Linked DNA regions of Rattus norvegicus. The protein of the gene in region 2 interacts with the protein of the main gene of each other region in a pairwise test. Links are inferred from orthologs where the notes say so. Each region holds a gene or a part of one and is shown on either strand. Other genes may lie near its edges.

The links.
Region 1: the proteins of Habp4 (region 2) and C1qbp interact in a two-hybrid assay, tested with the Homo sapiens proteins (2 studies listed by BioGRID and IntAct). The link is inferred for Rattus norvegicus from reciprocal best matches to the Homo sapiens genes HABP4 and C1QBP.
Region 3: the proteins of Habp4 (region 2) and Chd3 interact in a two-hybrid assay, tested with the Homo sapiens proteins (3 studies listed by BioGRID and IntAct). The link is inferred for Rattus norvegicus from reciprocal best matches to the Homo sapiens genes HABP4 and CHD3.
Region 4: the proteins of Habp4 (region 2) and Rack1 interact in a two-hybrid assay, tested with the Homo sapiens proteins (2 studies listed by BioGRID). The link is inferred for Rattus norvegicus from reciprocal best matches to the Homo sapiens genes HABP4 and RACK1.

What each region holds. Positions count from the first base shown.
Region 1 is NC_086028.1:56,200,358-56,204,512, forward strand, and holds the start of C1qbp (complement component 1 Q subcomponent-binding protein, mitochondrial precursor), read right to left. Parts: upstream 2,829-4,155; 5' UTR 2,828-2,828; coding exon 2,602-2,827; intron 2,175-2,601; coding exon 2,024-2,174; intron 342-2,023; coding exon 248-341; intron 1-247.
Region 2 is NC_086035.1:960,450-964,670, forward strand, and holds the start of Habp4 (intracellular hyaluronan-binding protein 4), read right to left. Parts: upstream 2,852-4,221; 5' UTR 2,770-2,851; coding exon 2,424-2,769; intron 1-2,423. UniProt on the Homo sapiens protein: Ribosome-binding protein that promotes ribosome hibernation, a process during which ribosomes are stabilized in an inactive state and preserved from proteasomal degradation.
Region 3 is NC_086028.1:54,564,795-54,568,354, forward strand, and holds part of Chd3 (chromodomain-helicase-DNA-binding protein 3), read right to left. Parts: intron 3,486-3,560; coding exon 3,350-3,485; intron 3,242-3,349; coding exon 3,140-3,241; intron 2,950-3,139; coding exon of another isoform or gene 2,947-2,949; coding exon 2,818-2,946; intron 2,239-2,817; coding exon 2,130-2,238; intron 1,530-2,129; coding exon 1,397-1,529; intron 1,150-1,396; coding exon 954-1,149; coding exon of another isoform or gene 908-953; intron 1-907.
Region 4 is NC_086028.1:33,669,021-33,673,380, reverse strand, and holds the start of Rack1 (small ribosomal subunit protein RACK1), read right to left. Parts: upstream 2,832-4,360; 5' UTR 2,699-2,831; coding exon 2,590-2,698; intron 2,310-2,589; exon of another isoform or gene 2,242-2,309; intron 1,568-2,241; coding exon 1,396-1,567; intron 1,154-1,395; exon of another isoform or gene 1,074-1,153; intron 919-1,073; coding exon 771-918; intron 264-770; exon of another isoform or gene 196-263; intron 1-195. UniProt on the Homo sapiens protein: Scaffolding protein involved in the recruitment, assembly and/or regulation of a variety of signaling molecules. Interacts with a wide variety of proteins and plays a role in many cellular processes.

The DNA.
Region 1 (4,155 bases), on a different chromosome or scaffold from region 2:
CTCCCCAACACTGGCAGGGGTGAGGGCACAGGCCCGTGATAAACCCTAAGCCCTTAGGGGACAACACTCTACAAACATGGTCCATCCACAACTCCAGCTAAAACTCACTCGGAATGACTGCATTACAGGTCTCAGGAGGCTCACCCTTCACCTCACCCTAGCAGGGAGGATTTTAAAAAGAGTGAAAGTGAAACAGTTCTTGCTTTTGGGGACAGAAATCTTGGCTGTCTGCCATGTCACTGCTTACCTCCTGCTCTTCGGCCTTCTGCCCCTGTGAGGGCTCCTCTTCACCATCAAAGGTTGGAGGGATGCTATTGTTAATGTTGAAAGTGACAGTGATCCTAGAAAGGCAGGTAGAGATACACCAAGGTACACATTAACCTAGTGGTAACAGGAGAGCAAGGCCCACTGAAACAATGTCTCCATCCTAGCCACACAGGGAAGTGAAGAGAATTTCATCTGAAGTGTACCTACAAGTTAAATGACTACAGCTGTGGATGAAGCTGCCAGGTTGGTGTCCTGGGGTCTTCCCATGGAAGCTAATGGAGGTGGACAGCCATCTGCCCCGGAAAGCCTCACAGCCACTGCAGAGCAGATTCACTTTGCACAACCACAAACTAGGAACTGAAACACCTAGTGGCTTCTTTCCCTTCTGGGGGGATTCTGGAGCTCAAATAAGTACCCTGCCCATGCTTGGCGGAAGTTCACAGCTGCACCCTGGCCCTTGTGTGACTGTAAGAATTCTTATGTGATGGACAGCACCTGTTCTAAAGTCAGAGACAGTTCCTTTGTCTCAACACCTGGAAAAGAAGTTCCGCTTACACAGATTCAGAGGGCCAACCAACCCAAGAAGAGTGTACTGGGGGCTGCTCCCTGGAGTCCAACTGGGCAATGCCTTGCTGCCACTTTGCCCCCGAAAAAAGAATGGCAAGGTGAACCAAAGGGCATGTACAACCTGCGATAGCCCAGACTAAACCTACTTCTTCCTTCCCTCCCTCCTTCCCTCTCTTATTTTGGTTTTTCAAGACAGGACTTATTTGTGTAGCCTTGGCTGTCTTAGTACTTGCTGGTGGACCAGGCTGGCTTTGAACTTACAGAAATCTACCTGTCTATGCCTCCCAGGGTGATAGAATTAAAGGCGGTGAGCCCCACCGACACTCAGCCTGGCCTTGAACTTTCTAATCTACACACACACACTTACTGCTAAGCTTATAAACCCCCGCACCCCCAATAAAACTTTCTTGTACACTGTGCTCCTGAAGCACTGGGGATGGATCCTGGAGCCTCACACAAGCTAGAGAAGCACTTAAGAGTCCAAGTAGACTTAGCCAAGGAAGACTGTGGGTGAATGGGTAACACGAAACAGCACAGACAAGGGTTTAACGGTTTTAGGGGTGCCAGGTGTGGTGGCGCATGTCTGCAACCTCAGCACACAGGTGTCTGAAGCAGCAGGACCCAGAGTCTGAGCCCAGTCTATGCTACACAGCAGCCACACAGAGACCTTGTCTCAAACCGAATCCCTTGAGGAGAGGAAGAGCTAAGTTTGGCTAAGAACCTTCTCCCTTTGTCTGATGGCCTTTCTACATGGTAACTTCTTCCTGTGACTTAACAGTTACACACGTGCACTTTCAACTATTATAAACACAAGCCAGACGGGAGTTCTAAACAAATGATTTACCAGTACTATTAAACAACAAAACAACAACCCAATGCTTAATCCAGACTGGCACAGCACCCCTCATTAATAACCCAATAACTGCGTTTGCCCCTCCCACAGGCTTCCCTCTACATACTCTGGAGCTGCTTCAGGTCTCCTTAATACAAGCCATAGAAGCTTGTATTCATTCAGTGAATGCACTCCCTGGAACCTAAGAACTTTCCCAAGTTTAATGCTTTCTTAAAGCCATTTTATCAAAGCATTGGGCCTAAGCTCAGGCTCTTCTGGGGATGGTCAGAACAGGATGCTGTAACCAGGAACTTCTGACTTGAGAATCCAGTATACAACCCCTGGGCCAGTACTTACTTTTCTCCGGCAACTTTGCGCAATAATTTAGCCTCCGTGCCGTTCACTTCCAGCTCCCAATCTCCAGACATTTTGGGAAGGGACTTATGCTTCTGGATCTTCTTTTCTTCCTTAATTTCATCAGTCAAAAATTCAACAAAGGCCTTGTCTCCTAAAAGAAAGGCCAAAATGATCAACAGTGAGAAAAGGTAGTTGCTCTAACCGATTGACTCGGACTGCGTGTAATCTATTCTTAAGGCTGTTCTAAGACTGTAGCGTAAATCACGCCTCAAAACGTCCGTTCCTCACTCTATAAAAACACCAGGATATATTTACTGAGCTGAACTGATATTACTTATCATGAGATGGTTATTTCTCATCATGAACTCATTACTATTACTTCCCGTATAAAACAAAAGAATTTCCAACTATCCTCTTCCATGTCCAAAAAGACGTGGACCCAACAACCACACTTTGAAACCACGACCCTACCGACTTTGCTAAGCCACATTTTCAAGACGCGAGAAGGGGAACCTGCGATCATGAGGGCCAGTTCCGAGCTGGATCGCCGCATTCCGACTAGGGTGCGTGAACCTTACCTTCCGTGTGCAGAGCGCCGCAGCCGCACGCGCAGGGAACCGGGGGCTGCAGGAGGCCAGAGCGCCGAGCGGAGCCGGCTCGTACGCTGAGCAAACCGAAGGGCCGGAGGCATGGCCGGGGCGCGGGCTGCAGTAAATGCCGAAGCGGCGGGGCCGGGATGGAGGCTCGGAGGCCCGTGGCGGCGGCACCCAGGGCGCGGGGCACGCAGCGCAGCAGAGGGAGCATCGCGGGGTGGACACGTGCAAAGGGAAGGACGACCGGGCCAAGACACCGTGTGACCTCGCGAGCCGCCGGAAGCCCCGCCCTCGCCCGGGAAGCGCTATCCACGTCGGAGGACTGCAGTACCCGGGCCGGACCGCACCGCGCCCTCTGCTGGGAGCCGCCAGCGCAGCCCGAGAGGCCTTGGCTCAGCTGTATTCTACCCTGGCCATCAAATCTCCCTTGCTGCCCGTTCTCCCCAATTCACCTGCTTTTCTCAACCCAAGCCACACTTTGTTACTTCGTGGAATACGCTCAGGTCTCATCCCAACAAAGATCACTTAGCGGTCTTCTGAAACCGCCTAGTTCTGAAAAGCTCAGACTGACCTGCATGCAGCTGCTGTGGAGTGGGCATCCAGGCCTCACATTAGACCCAGAATCCCAAGAACAGGATGAAGGATTTATGCTGGAAACCTCTGCACCCCCTAACAATTCGTGTACCGGTTTTAATGGACCATCGTTTTTTTTTGGGGGGGGGGGAGCAGGAATAGATGGCTTTCATCATCACATTTAGGTTGAGAATCAGGGATAACAGGCTGGAGACAGGGCTCAGTGGTTAAGAGCACTGTTGCTCTTACAGAGGCCTGGAGTTCTATTGCCAGCATCCACACGCCTTCTCACAACCATCTACCTCCAGTTCCAGGGCAGCAGACACCCTCTTTTGACTTTTACCAACACCATGAACGAACGTAGTGCAGACATGCAGGCAAAACTCTCAAGGACATTAGAAACACACACACACAAAACAAAACCAACAAAATCCAAAACCCAACCCAAGAAACAAAAACAAAATTTAACCAACCGAATTTCACACACACACACACACACACACACACACACACACACACACACACACACACACACCCCAAAAACCCCGCTCATGCTCTCTGGTCCTAGCATCTGGGAGGTAGAGGCAAACAGCCGAGTTTAAGGTCAGCCTGGTTACACAGCATGTTCCAGAACAGCCAGGGTTACATAAAAGACCTCTCAAAACACCAAAAGCAAATGTTGGATACCGAGTCTTACTGAATGAATGGCAATGAAACTACTGTTTAATATTCTAAACAGCATTCTTTAAATAAGGGAAAGGAGGCCCAAAATAAGAGGCCACACAGATCGTATACAAGATTCAGGTTTTTATGGACTTAATAGTCAAAAGTAATTTTTGAGCATTATATACAAGAACTGTTTCTTATGTTTGAGATCAGAGAGATTAGAGTGCAAGTCCAAATCCACTTCTTATTTTTCTACACTACAGCAATCGATATAAAATTGTTTCCTCACAGGTATAGTCT
Region 2 (4,221 bases):
TGAAAAAGGAATGAAGGTCTAAGTATAGTAGCTTACAATACCAAAACAGCACTGTGCCTGTGTGTATGCATGTGTGCATGCACGTATGCATGCGCAATGTGCTTGTGAGTCCAGAAGACAGAGAGAAACCCTGAGTGTTCATTCACCTCTGAACAGCCCCTCTTACTTTCTGAGTCCAGGTTTCTCTCTGGGAATCTGGGCTCATGGATTCAAGCAGGGATGGAGCTCATATCCTCATCATGTTTTCGAGACAAACATTTTCTGATTGATCTATCTCCCTGGTCCCACGCTGTATATAAATGCATAGTGTCAATCATAAGAAAAATAAGGGGCCCTTCCACTAACTTAACTTCATACATTTCTGAGACTGCTTGAAATTTCTGTAACAAGAGCTGGGGGTTCAAGCTCATAGTAGATCACTTACACAATACGAATGGAACCCTGGGCTCATCATAACAAGAACTTTTTTCGGAGCTGAGGACTGAACCCAGGGCCTTGCATTTGCTAGGCAAGCCCTCTACCACTGAGCTAAATCCCCAACCCTAAGAATATTTTTAATTTTAAAAGAGACCTAAAGGGCTGGAGAGATGGCTCAGAGGTTAAGAGCACTGACTGTTCTTCCAGAGGTCCTGAGTTCAATTCCCAGCAACCATGTGGTGGCTCACAACCATCTGTAATGGGATCTGATGCCCTCTTCTGGTGTGTCTGAAGACAGTGACAGTGTACTCATATACATTAAATAAATAAATAAATAAATCTTAAAAAAAAAGACTAAAGAAAAACTTCAGCCAGTGTGTGTTGCACACCTTTAATCCCGGCACTCAGGAATCTCAGCACTTGGGAGACAGATCCAAGCATATCTCTGAGTTAGAGGATAGACTGGTCTACAAAGAGAGTCCCAGAACAGCACAGAGAAAGCCTGTCTCAAAAAACCAAAACAAACAAAAACAACAATACTTTAACAGTAGTAACTGGTACTCTTCCAAAAGCTAGTATATTTTCACTTGATAAAAAAAGTAAATAGTAAAACATTTGGTCTTACTCAATTCCTTCCCTCCTATTTTTTCTAAATACATTTAGGAGAAACTCAATATAAAATGTACAGTATGGTGCATTTCCATCTTAAAAGGAGTCCTAAATTCACTGAGGTATCCATCTTCATTAATGATTTTCTGAATCTCAACCAATGTCTCAAATGAACTTTACAGATAAAGGTAAACATTATCTATCTGTACCAGCTAAAGCCAGAAGTGGAAAGGGCAGTTTTTCTCAAGTTAGGACAAGGCAATAATGCCCACATGAACACATCCCTACCTGGTGGTCAAACTACACTCTAATCACAACATCCCTTCTTGCCAACCTTAAGACTATAAACTTAATACGGGAAAACGGGGAGTTCATTTGGCAAAAGCTTGGCTGCAAAAGCCTTGACGCAGCTCAGGTGACAGCCACGAAGTCTGAAGCAGCCTCCCACGCAGACAGTACACCCAGCAGAGGGCTGACCCTTCTACTTAAGCAGAAAGGGTAACTTTGAGCATTCGGCTTGCAAAGGTTAAAACTGCTTCTAGCAAAAACAGTATTCAATCCATCACAAATTACGCGTCCCACATACACTATTTGTTCCACCTGCAATCGATGTCTGCTAACGCCTGGAGGCTACAGTATGAAGATTGAGAAAAGGACTAAGGCGCAGAGGAGCCGGAACCCCAAGCCCACCCCACTCACCCTGGGCTCAAGTCTGCCTTCCCGGAGCTTCCACACCTGCGGGTGCCCAGGCCTCCCTGAATTTAAAGGCCCAGAGTCTGGGATCCCTGAAGGTTTTAGCAGTGCATCGCCTACAGAGCTGAGCCCCGCAGAGGCCGGCAGGATGAAGGATGCAGCTAGCTGCAGATGTGGGGATCCCAGCTGCGCAACCCTCAGGCTGTCAGTCCTGGTCCCTACACGGAACTAGGAATGTCAGGAGGGTGACCCCAGAAGAGTCACACCATGTCTTTTTGCCCATCAAGAACCTCCAGCTCGGCCCACCGGGAACGGGTGGATAGGAACGACCCCACCCCCAACCCTCCAGGGAGTGTGATTCCCACCCCCTCCTCGTGGATAGAGGGTGACCAAAGGCCCTGTCCACCAAGATTCAGTGCTCTGCTCACTGTACCCGTCTGGGATGAGCCCAGCGAGAGTGAAACCCTGGCCCCTCCACTGAGAAAGGGTCACTGGGGAAAGTGACCACCCAGGAGGATGGCCCTAAAGGGTCATGACCCCTCAAAAGTGGCTCCCGAGAGTGATCCCTGGAAACGTGACCCCGAGAGAATTATTATCTTGAAGGGTGGCCCCGGTCCCTGCGCCCATCAGGACACCCAGCTCTGATTCGCCCACGCGGGACCGAGCTAGCGGCTGGAGGGGTGACCTCGGTGCCCGCGGCGTACCTGGCGGCTGAGGGCCCCCGGGGCTGTCTGGCTGCTGTGCGCTGGACACCGCGAGGCTCTTGCGCTCCTTCTGCGACTCCCTGCGGCCGGCCGCGCCGGGCCTGTGTCCTGAGGCCACGGCAGGGCTCCTGCCGCCACGGTGCCCAGCCCCGCTGGCCGCCGCCGCCTCATCGCGACGCTTGCGCTGCAGCTGCTGCTGGCGCCGGTGCTCGGCCTCCCGCAGGATGTCGAACGGGTCCGACTCGTCGTCCAGCAGCTGATGGAAGCGGTTGGCCACGACGCAGCCGAACGTCTCCTGCATCGCGGCGCCCGCGGCGGCTACCGGGCTCCCCAGGGCCCCCTTCATGACGCCACCGCTGCGGGCGCCGCGGGCAGCCCAGGCCAGTGAGGTTCAGCGAAGCCGCGGGCGAGGACCCATGCTGCTGCCGCCGCCGCCGCACTCCCGGCCCCGCGGTCGGCTCCTCCCCGCCTGCGCGCCCCAGCCAATCAGCGCTGATAGACACGCCCTTCGGCCCCGGCGCGCACGGAGACCCAATGGGCGGCCGGTGTCTGTGACGTCACGCCCCACTTTATCCCTCCCACTCCAGGCCTGTGGGCGTGGTGGTCCGAGGCTGGGGCGGAGCTATCACGAGATACCCAGGGAAGCTGCCTGTGTTCTCTCGCCGGTGTGCGCCAGAGGGGAAGCCTAGTTGTGCACCGCCATACTTCACCTAAGTGACCTCGTCACGAGCCTTTCAGCGGCTTGCGTGGCCGGGAGAGAGCTGTAGACTGAGGGAAAGTGCCTAGAGGAGAGGCAGCGTTCTCAGCTGGGAGCTGACCCAGTCAAGAAGCTTGGAGAGACTTGAGCTTCAAGAGGTGTGACAGGGACAGGAGACCAAAACAGCCCATTCAAGCGCAAAGAAATAACCCCAGACCCACTGTGATGTTGTGATGAGTGCGGGAGTGGATGGGGTGAGGTTTAGATAGTGGTTGTTTTCTTTTGAGACATTCAGTTAAGGCCTGGCTTCTGGGAAATCAAACTCCAAAGTAGATGTCAGGTTTGCTGGCGAGTGCCTTTGCCCTCTGAGCCATCACTCTCCTGAAAATTAATTTTGTAAGTTAGCATTAAAAGTAATGGTTTTTATGTTATATAGGTGTGTTCATATGTATGTATATATACATGTCTATGTCATTGCACTTCGTTCTAAACTGTCCTCCTCCCTCATTGCCCTCCATAATGCCACCCCTGCCTGCTGGTTTCCTTCCTCTCTCTCAAGTAGTTTTCACTTCACAGCACATGTGAAAGGAATAATTAAATACAGGTGTTAAAAGGTCTGAGTTTTACTGTTTTCCCACTTGCCTGTGCAAAGAAATCAAAAGTGATTTTTGTCTCAAATTGTGATTTCCTGGGCTTGCATTCAGGGAGATCATAGGTTCTCAGTAAATTGTCAGATAGCTAGATATTTTAAGATCTTTCTTTGAATTAAAGATTAGTGCCTGTATATTTTAACCAAAATTGGAAACAGGTATTTAGATGAAATTTTGTATTATTCTCAGAGGTGCTATTCACAATAGCCAGGAGGAAGAAACAACCCAAATGCTCACTAACTGGGTGATGGATAAATAAAATGTGGTACAGCAGCAGCTAGGTTTGGAGTGGGGCAGAAAAGAACAAGTGTTAGCACACACTACAGCACAGATGAACCTTGGAACATTGTGTGAGAAAGGGTTAGGTGATATAAGGGATGGGTAAATCCACAGGTTTTAATTACCTTTGCATTGCTGCACCCACAATATCAGACAGAAACAAGGCAAAGAT
Region 3 (3,560 bases), on a different chromosome or scaffold from region 2:
GGGGCCCGGGCCACAGAGAGAGAAGGGCAAGAGAAAGGTAGAGAGAGAGATGGAGCCAGAAAAAGGGACAGTCAGATGGACAAGTACAGTCAGAAAGAGAGGACACAGACATCAAAGGACCACAGGCCAAGGACCAAATGGCAGAGATTAGACAGAAGAGTGGTTCAGAGGAAAGCAACAGACCAGATACCACACAGAACAGATGGAGTAAAGACAAAGACAGAGTATGGGGAAGAGGTAAGGGAAAGACATTGAAAGACATGGGGTCGGGGTTGTCAGAACATCCCGTACTAGAAAAGGGAGGCTTAGGGGTCAGGATGATGGGGAGGAAATAGGAGGCATAGGGCAGTATGATTTAGGGACTCAGTTTTAATACATGATGGGGAGGGGGTTAAAGAGTCAGCATTCTGTAGAAGGACCTAAGGTTGGCAGAAGTCAGGTGCTACACCAGGCTCTGTTAGGGGGTTAGGATGGCTCTGGGACCTAACCCATAGTTATCAAGGTAGGAGGATATGGGCGAAAAGGCTGGGGGTCAAAAGCAAGCTTCATGGGGTCTGCCCAGAGGTAGATGGGCAGTCGTTTTCACTTCATGGGGTGAAGGAGATACAAAGAAAGTGACCTGTGGGTCAGAGCTAAGGACACACACACACACCAAGGCTATCAGGATCATGGCAGGTGCAACCTGTGGTCCCACTCACAGGGATCAGGTCCCACTTTATGAGGTGACTGGTACCCTACTGGTCACTGCTGTGAACCATATCAGGTATGGGCTTAGACAAGGGGTAAAGCTAAACCCCAAAAGGGTCAGAAGTGGGGTTAGAGGTCAGAGGGCAGTGGTTCAGAGGGTAGAGGGGTAAGGGGGCAGAGGGTGTGGGAAAGTTTTTAAGGGTGCGGGGTGAAGACTTACGCAGCGTTGTGGGCCCTCCCCCGCGCGGGGCCACCGCGGCCCTTACCCTTGTGCAGGACAGCGTTGGCTGGCTTGTTCCCTGCCAGCGACTCCTTGGAGAGGTGCTGGTGGCTCTCGGCTAGGCACTCGGCCTCGGCAAAGCGGGCGTGGAGGGCCATGGCGGGGTGCGCCGGCTCCTGTGACAGGTTCAGGTAGGCCGCCCGCCGCAGCTGCTCCTCGATCACCAGCGCCTGCTCCAGGAGCTAAGGGAACAGGATAGGGGTAAAGGCAGGTGAGTAGAAGGACTAACCTAGCACTAGAGAGCTACTCTGTCCCTGTTGCCCTGGAAACTCCAGCTGCACAGTGTGTGAGCCAGACCACAGTTCCCATCCATAGGTCCACTGGGTCTTAGCCACAGTGTTACCTCAGGTCTCGTGATGATACCATTCCTTCCAGCCCACGCTGAGCAAGGCCCTTCTTCACCCCACTTCTCTTCTTTCTCATCCTCACCTTGAACCTCCGGGCCAGGAATTTATTTTTCATCTCCAGGAAGTTCCCCTTATTGGCTTCCGTTTTAAATGGTTCATTAATAATGGCAAACTGAGCATCGTTCTGGATGTCTTGCCACCGGGCATAGCCATGGCTGCCAACAGAGCAAAGGAACTATCAAGGAATTTAACTGAATGGATGTGACTGTGAACATTTCTTATTGGCCAGATGTCCCCAGAATGTGGCACAAGCTTCCCCCGCCTGAGTGTGGACCCTTCTTCTCTGTAGTTCCCCTCTGCCCTGGCTAGTTTTTCTCAACCCGACAGAAGTTAGAATTATCTGGGAAGATGAACATCAGTGGAGAAAATTACTCCATAAGGTCGGGCTGTAGACAAACCTATGGGGCATTTTCTTAATCAATGATTGATGGGGGAGGGCCTAGACCACTGCAGGTGGTGCCCTCCCTGGGCTGGTGGTCCTGGGTTCTATAAGAAAGCAGGCTGAGCAAGCCACAGGGAGCAAGCCAGTAAGCAGCACCCCTCCATGGCCTCCGCATCAGCTCCTGCCTCCAGCCTCCTGCCTCTGTTCCTGCCCTAACTTCCCTGGAAGACGTGCTACAAATTGTAAGAAGAAATAAACCCTTTCCTCCCCAAGTTTCTTTCAGCCATGGTGTTTATCAAGCAGCAGAAACCCCACGGCACCTTCTCTCCTAGCTGAGAGACCCTTTGTGATCTTGCACATATGCAAAGGATACAGGACAATGCCAGCTAGAAGCCAGTAGTCATGTCTCCGGTGCCAGATCTCATTGAGTTTCCCCGAGGAAATAGCTGCTCTTTCCTCATTCTGCCACAGTGTGTGCAGCTCTGCAAAGAACAGAACGAATGCATCAGGTTTGTGGTCTGCATCACCCTGGGAACGTACACATGGAAATCTGAGTAAGGACAGAGTATTAAAGGCTCCTTAAGAGCTGTACGAGGGGCTGGAGGGTAGCTCAGTGCTTAGAAGCACTTGTCACTCATGCGAAGGACCAGACTTCAGGTCACAGCTCCAACAGGTAGCTCACAACCATCTGTCACTCCACTTACAGGGGATATACAGTACCATCTTCTGACCTCTAAAGGTACTGTACACATATGGTGCATACACATGCATGCAGGCAAACACTCATAACACATAAAATAAATCTGAAAAAATTAAATTACAAAAAGGCGAGAAACATTAAGTTAGGAAGTAAGGAGTAGAGTTAATTATGAACAGGCTCACGTTAAGATTAAGGCAAGAGAACTGTGTTAGAGACCAATGGGAGTTTGGTAGTAACTTAGGACTGTCGAGGCTCACTGTCAGCATGCACCAGTTCATTGAAAGTGTGTGGAATTAAATGGAGCAGGCAGCCTCAGACACAGTGACACAGTGAGGAGCAGGTAACAGACAACCTCCCACACCTGTGAAACCACCATCAGCAATGTTGAACATGAATCTTGGCTTCTCCACCTTCTCCTCACGGCGCCCATTGGGCCGTGGCTCATCCCGAGGAGGCCCAAGTCGAAGCTCCCGATCTGCTTTTACATCTTCTGCTAGGCCAAAGAGTGCAAAGCTCACACCTCAGGACTGCCTCCTTCTAAGTCCCAAGACTATTTAGTGCATCAACCGTACCGGCTCTCCCAACAGCTACCCACCCAAGACCCAGGCATCTGTCCCCAGATTCCAAGCCTCCCCAGATACCCAGATACCAGGACTTGGGTGTCCAGTCCTTCTGCCCATTACCTCTCTTGCCCAAATCCCCTGTCTCCCCCTCTGTCCTCTCCCTGTGTTCCTGTCCATCCAATGGCTTCTCCTCCCCCCTTTCTCCTGGCGTTGGCTCTGAGGCTGTGGGAAGAGTCAGAAGATGTGAAGACAGCTGTTACTTTCACCCCAGGTCCCGAAGAGTCAACTCCAAAACCCAAATCCCCATCACTGGTAGGACAATACACCCACCAGACTTTTCCCTGTCTCCTCGGTACCCAGGTTCAGGCTCTATCTCTCCAGGTACCCCTGGTGCATCATCCTCTAACAGAATCTTCCTATGTTCTAGCCGTTCTCCAAGTGATGGGGCAGGGCTGGGAGAATCAATCTAGTGGAGGACAGAGAGTCAAGTGAGCTAGAGAGTTCCTAGGCACTTTGTTGCCAAGATCCCTCCAAACCTTCC
Region 4 (4,360 bases), on a different chromosome or scaffold from region 2:
AGCTTTTCCCAGATTACAGATCTCTACTACACTTCCCTAAGAGGGGCAACGGCACTCCTGCACTCCCTTCTCAGAAGCACAATCTTTAGGCCAACAGACCAGGGGCAAAGCCACCTGTCAAGCCTGCTGACATTTGAGTCCTAAGGTGACCCCAGAGCTCACCCACTCATTACTCATGGAGCACAGGACCAGGCACAGCTCAGAAACAGCCTCTGGATTTCAGCAAAGCAACTCAGATGGCATGTTGTGGTCATCACTGTTGGGCCTGGCTTGTAACCCCTCAAACACATCTCTAGGAGATAGGTGAGAGACTTAAGATCATTTAAACCTTAGGGCAGTTATGAGAGACATCTGGGTATCTGCTCATGTGCCAAGACCCTGCCCAACTGATGCCGTGGTTTGGGTTTCCACAGCTCAACCTAATATGGGATTAAAGGGGGAAAAGAAGGCCTTTTAACCCCAGCAGTCTGGAAGCACATGATCTCATGCAGGTCTACCTACACAGAAACCCACAAACAAACAATCCCTCCAACTCCTCTGAGCCCCATGCCAGTCCAGTCACAAGGTAGCAGGCACACAAAGTTTAAAAACAAAATCCCAGACAGGGCTAACAATACACAAGAGAAAGTGCCAGGTGGTAGTAGTACACACCTAGGAATCAGATCACCTGAGGCCACCAGGACCACACAGTGATGAACGCACCCTAAAAACAGCCCCCAGGGGGTGGGAGACAGCCCTGGACGCCGTCCCTACCACCCTTACCCCTTTACCTGGACAGTGTACTTGCAGACACCCAGAGTATTCCATAACTTAATGGTCTTGTCTCGGGACCCAGAGACAATCTGCCGGTTGTCAGAGGAGAAAGCCACGCTCAGCACATCCTTGGTGTGGCCGACAAATCGTCTCGTGGTAGTGCCCCTAAGAGGGAGAACCTGGTCACTTTCTAGACAGGTTTCACCCATCCAGTTAGATCCTTTTCCTAGCCCCACCCTTACCCTGTAGGCTCTATTATACTCCACAGTCCACAAGTGGTTCAGAACCTACTATTAGCCCATGTCTGATATGTACCAGAGAACCCATTCAGAATTGCAGGACATGTCCTCATTCCCTTGTGGGGATTGGTTGACAATGTCTCCTTGTCATCACTAGGATCCTCTATTACATCTGCCAATGTCCATCTGCCAATGTCCATCTAAGACAACTTACAACCCGAGACAACTTAATAGCCCATGGTACCCAGTTAAAAAAAAAAAAAGCAGCTCCAAGGGAAGCCTAACACCCCAAAATGTTGCCTTCCCTCAAACAAAAGGACTGATTACCAAGGGAAGACCACACCCTGGGGAATCTACCTCACTTTTGCCCACCTTCCCCCAAGGCCCCAAAGCAGCTACTTGCGTTGTGAGATCCCAGAGGCGTAGGGTTCCATCCCAGGAGCCTGAGAGGGCAAACTGGCCATCAGAGGAGATGACAACATCGCTAACAAAGTGGGAGTGACCTCGAAGAGCACGTTGTGGTATGCCGTAGTTGGTCTCATCCCTGGTCAGCTTCCACATGATGATGGTCTTGTCTAAAAAGGTTGGTAAAGAAATCTCATGAGGACCCCCAAAACCTACTACTTACCACGCACAAGTTACAGTCCTAAGGTCACTGGTGTGGTAAATGGCAGAAAAACGGCAAATTTGAAGTAAAAGAGGCTCACTATTCCACAGAGACGTAGATCTAAGCTGTAATCTGAGATGATGGGCAACACACTTCCTGGAGTTGAGATTTAAGTTCAACATAAAAAAACTTATTTAATGTGGCTCCCTACGTGTGTGTGTGTACGCGCGCGCACACTATATGTGTCTATGGTGTTCAAACTCTAGCCTTATCCATCGATGCGGCTAACTCAATAGCAAAAGCACTGTCACTTGGGTGTAGGATGAGCAGAGACACTTTCCCGCCTCGGAGAGTTAACAGAAAGGCAGCAGTTACGGCAGCATCATACACAGTCCTAGCCACGACCATTTCGACTTACACAGAAACCAACAGAAAGCCCGATAAGCCTAGCATTAATTAGGTAGGAGAGAGAGGACGAACATAATTTTGGGCAAGTAGGGAGGACCTGAGAGGGAAAAATACATGGAGACATATCATGAAAGAAAAAATAGCATTAGTTACAAGGAAAGAAAATCTAGGGCAGGACGGGCAAGCCCGGAATTCTGGGGAACAAGGCACCTAGAGTTCAGGGCCAGGCGGTGGCAGCTCAGAAACAGCCTCTGGATTTCAGCAAAGCAACTCAGATGGCATGTTGGGGTCATCATTGCTCCGCCTGGCTTGTAGCCACGTAATTACTTCGTTAACACATCTCCAGAAAGCAAGCGAGAGATGCATTAAAATCGCCATGCTGTGCACTTGCGTGACAAGTCCCGGTTTCCGTTCATATGTAAAGGGTCGCCCCGGTTGGGGCCCATGTTCGGGTCTGCACGCCCCAACTCACACCTGGGTCGGGGAACGGACCGAGCCAGCCAACACGAGCGCCACTTGCTTAGCCACGAGACATGCAGTCACCAGGACACAGGGTGTTTCACCCGGCATGCAGCCCCGTACCTCGAGACGCCGACAGGATCATGTCCGGGAACTGCGGAGTGGTGGCGATCTGTGTAACCCATCCATTATGGCCCTTGAGGGTCCCACGAAGGGTCATTTGCTCGGTCATGGCTGCAGATGTTGCGAGTGTCGCCGCAGCGACAAGGATGGCACCGGATAGCTTAGGGAGCCAAGCACCGCAGCGGCTGCCACCGCGACCCTGCGGAGAAAAAGAAAGAGCGGCCTCCGCCGGAACCGGAAATACTCGGAGAGCAAGGCGGGGATTCCCATGATTCACTGCTGCCCAAAGATGGCTGCACTATGAAGTGGGAGGAACTGGAGAAGTAGATCGCAGTATCGTCGTTTCTTCTGCCACGCAACATACAGGCAGCGCTGTACAAATGCATTCTGAAGCCAGGTGCACCAGGTTTTTAGAAAGGCTTCTCGGAAGATTAAAACATGCCGTGGAAGCAGAAGTGAGGCTAAACGGCACATTACCGAACTACAGCGGCTCACCGCCCCTACGTGGCACTGACGGAGCTCCGCCCTTTCCGCTTCGTGTTTAGTTCTCGGTTGGAGACCGCGGCTTTAACTTTGACTTACGGAAGTACAATTAAAGTTGCAGTTAAAGGAGTATGCCACGAAATTTGGCCTTTTTTGTTTTAAGGCAAGGTTTCATGTAGTGAAGGCTAGTCTTAAACTGGCTATGTTGCCAAGGATGTCTTCTGTCTCCCAAGAACCGGGCCGCTGCCGGGCGAGGCTATAGAGAAAGTGCTGGGTTAAGATTTATGGGGATTGGAAGCCCTTTCTGTGCTTCTGATCACTCCTCAGAAAAGCCTGCTAGTCCGTCTTGTGTAGCCCTGAAAGAAGTGAACCTGGACAGGGAAGAAGAGGAACACTGATAATCTAGCAACCTGATGACCCTCCCCTCAACACTTGTTTGAATTATTTAGTGTCTCCAAATGTCACAGATCTCTCAAAAAATTTTAACTTTACGTTTTAAAATTGGGGGTTGGGGATTTAGCTCAGTGGTAGAGCGCTTGCCTAGCAAGCACAAGGCCCTGGGTTCGGTCCCCAGCTCCTAAAAAAAAAAAAAAGAAAAAGGAAAAAAAAACTTAAAATTATTTGTGTGTGAGTGCGCTTGTGATCGTCACAGTGCACAGGTTGAAGTCAGGAATTTTCTTTTCTGCCATGCGTGCTCCTCTTGCTCAGCTTAAATATTTTTTAAAAAGGAGCACAGGTCAGGAAGGTAACCAACCACTAATGTCTATATGAACTAAATGATACATTTAATTATTTTAGTGCTATGGGTTGAACTCCCACATGTGAGGAAAATGCCTTATGGAGTTACATCTACCCCCTCGTGCCCCGCCCCCATCTCTCAATCTTGTTTAGTTTTTGTTTGTTCGTTTTTGAGACAGTCTCACTATGTAAAAGACTTAGCTGGTCTGGAACTCAGAGATCACCTGCCTGTGAGTGCTGGGAATGCAGGGATTAAAGGCATTTGTCGGGCTGAAGAGATGCTTCAGCAGTTAAGAGCATTAGCTGCATTTCTAAGAGGACTTGGGTTAGTTCACCAACATCCACATGGCAGCTCACAACTGTCACAACAACTCCAGAGGCTCCAACCACCTCATACAGACGCACATGTAAGCAAAACACCAGTGCACATAACATAAAAATAAATCATAAGAAAAAAAAACAGTTAAGTGGAATTCATCACCACATTCAACCTTATTTTGATACAGGATCTGCATAGCTCAAATTGGCCTTAAATTTATGATTTCCCCCG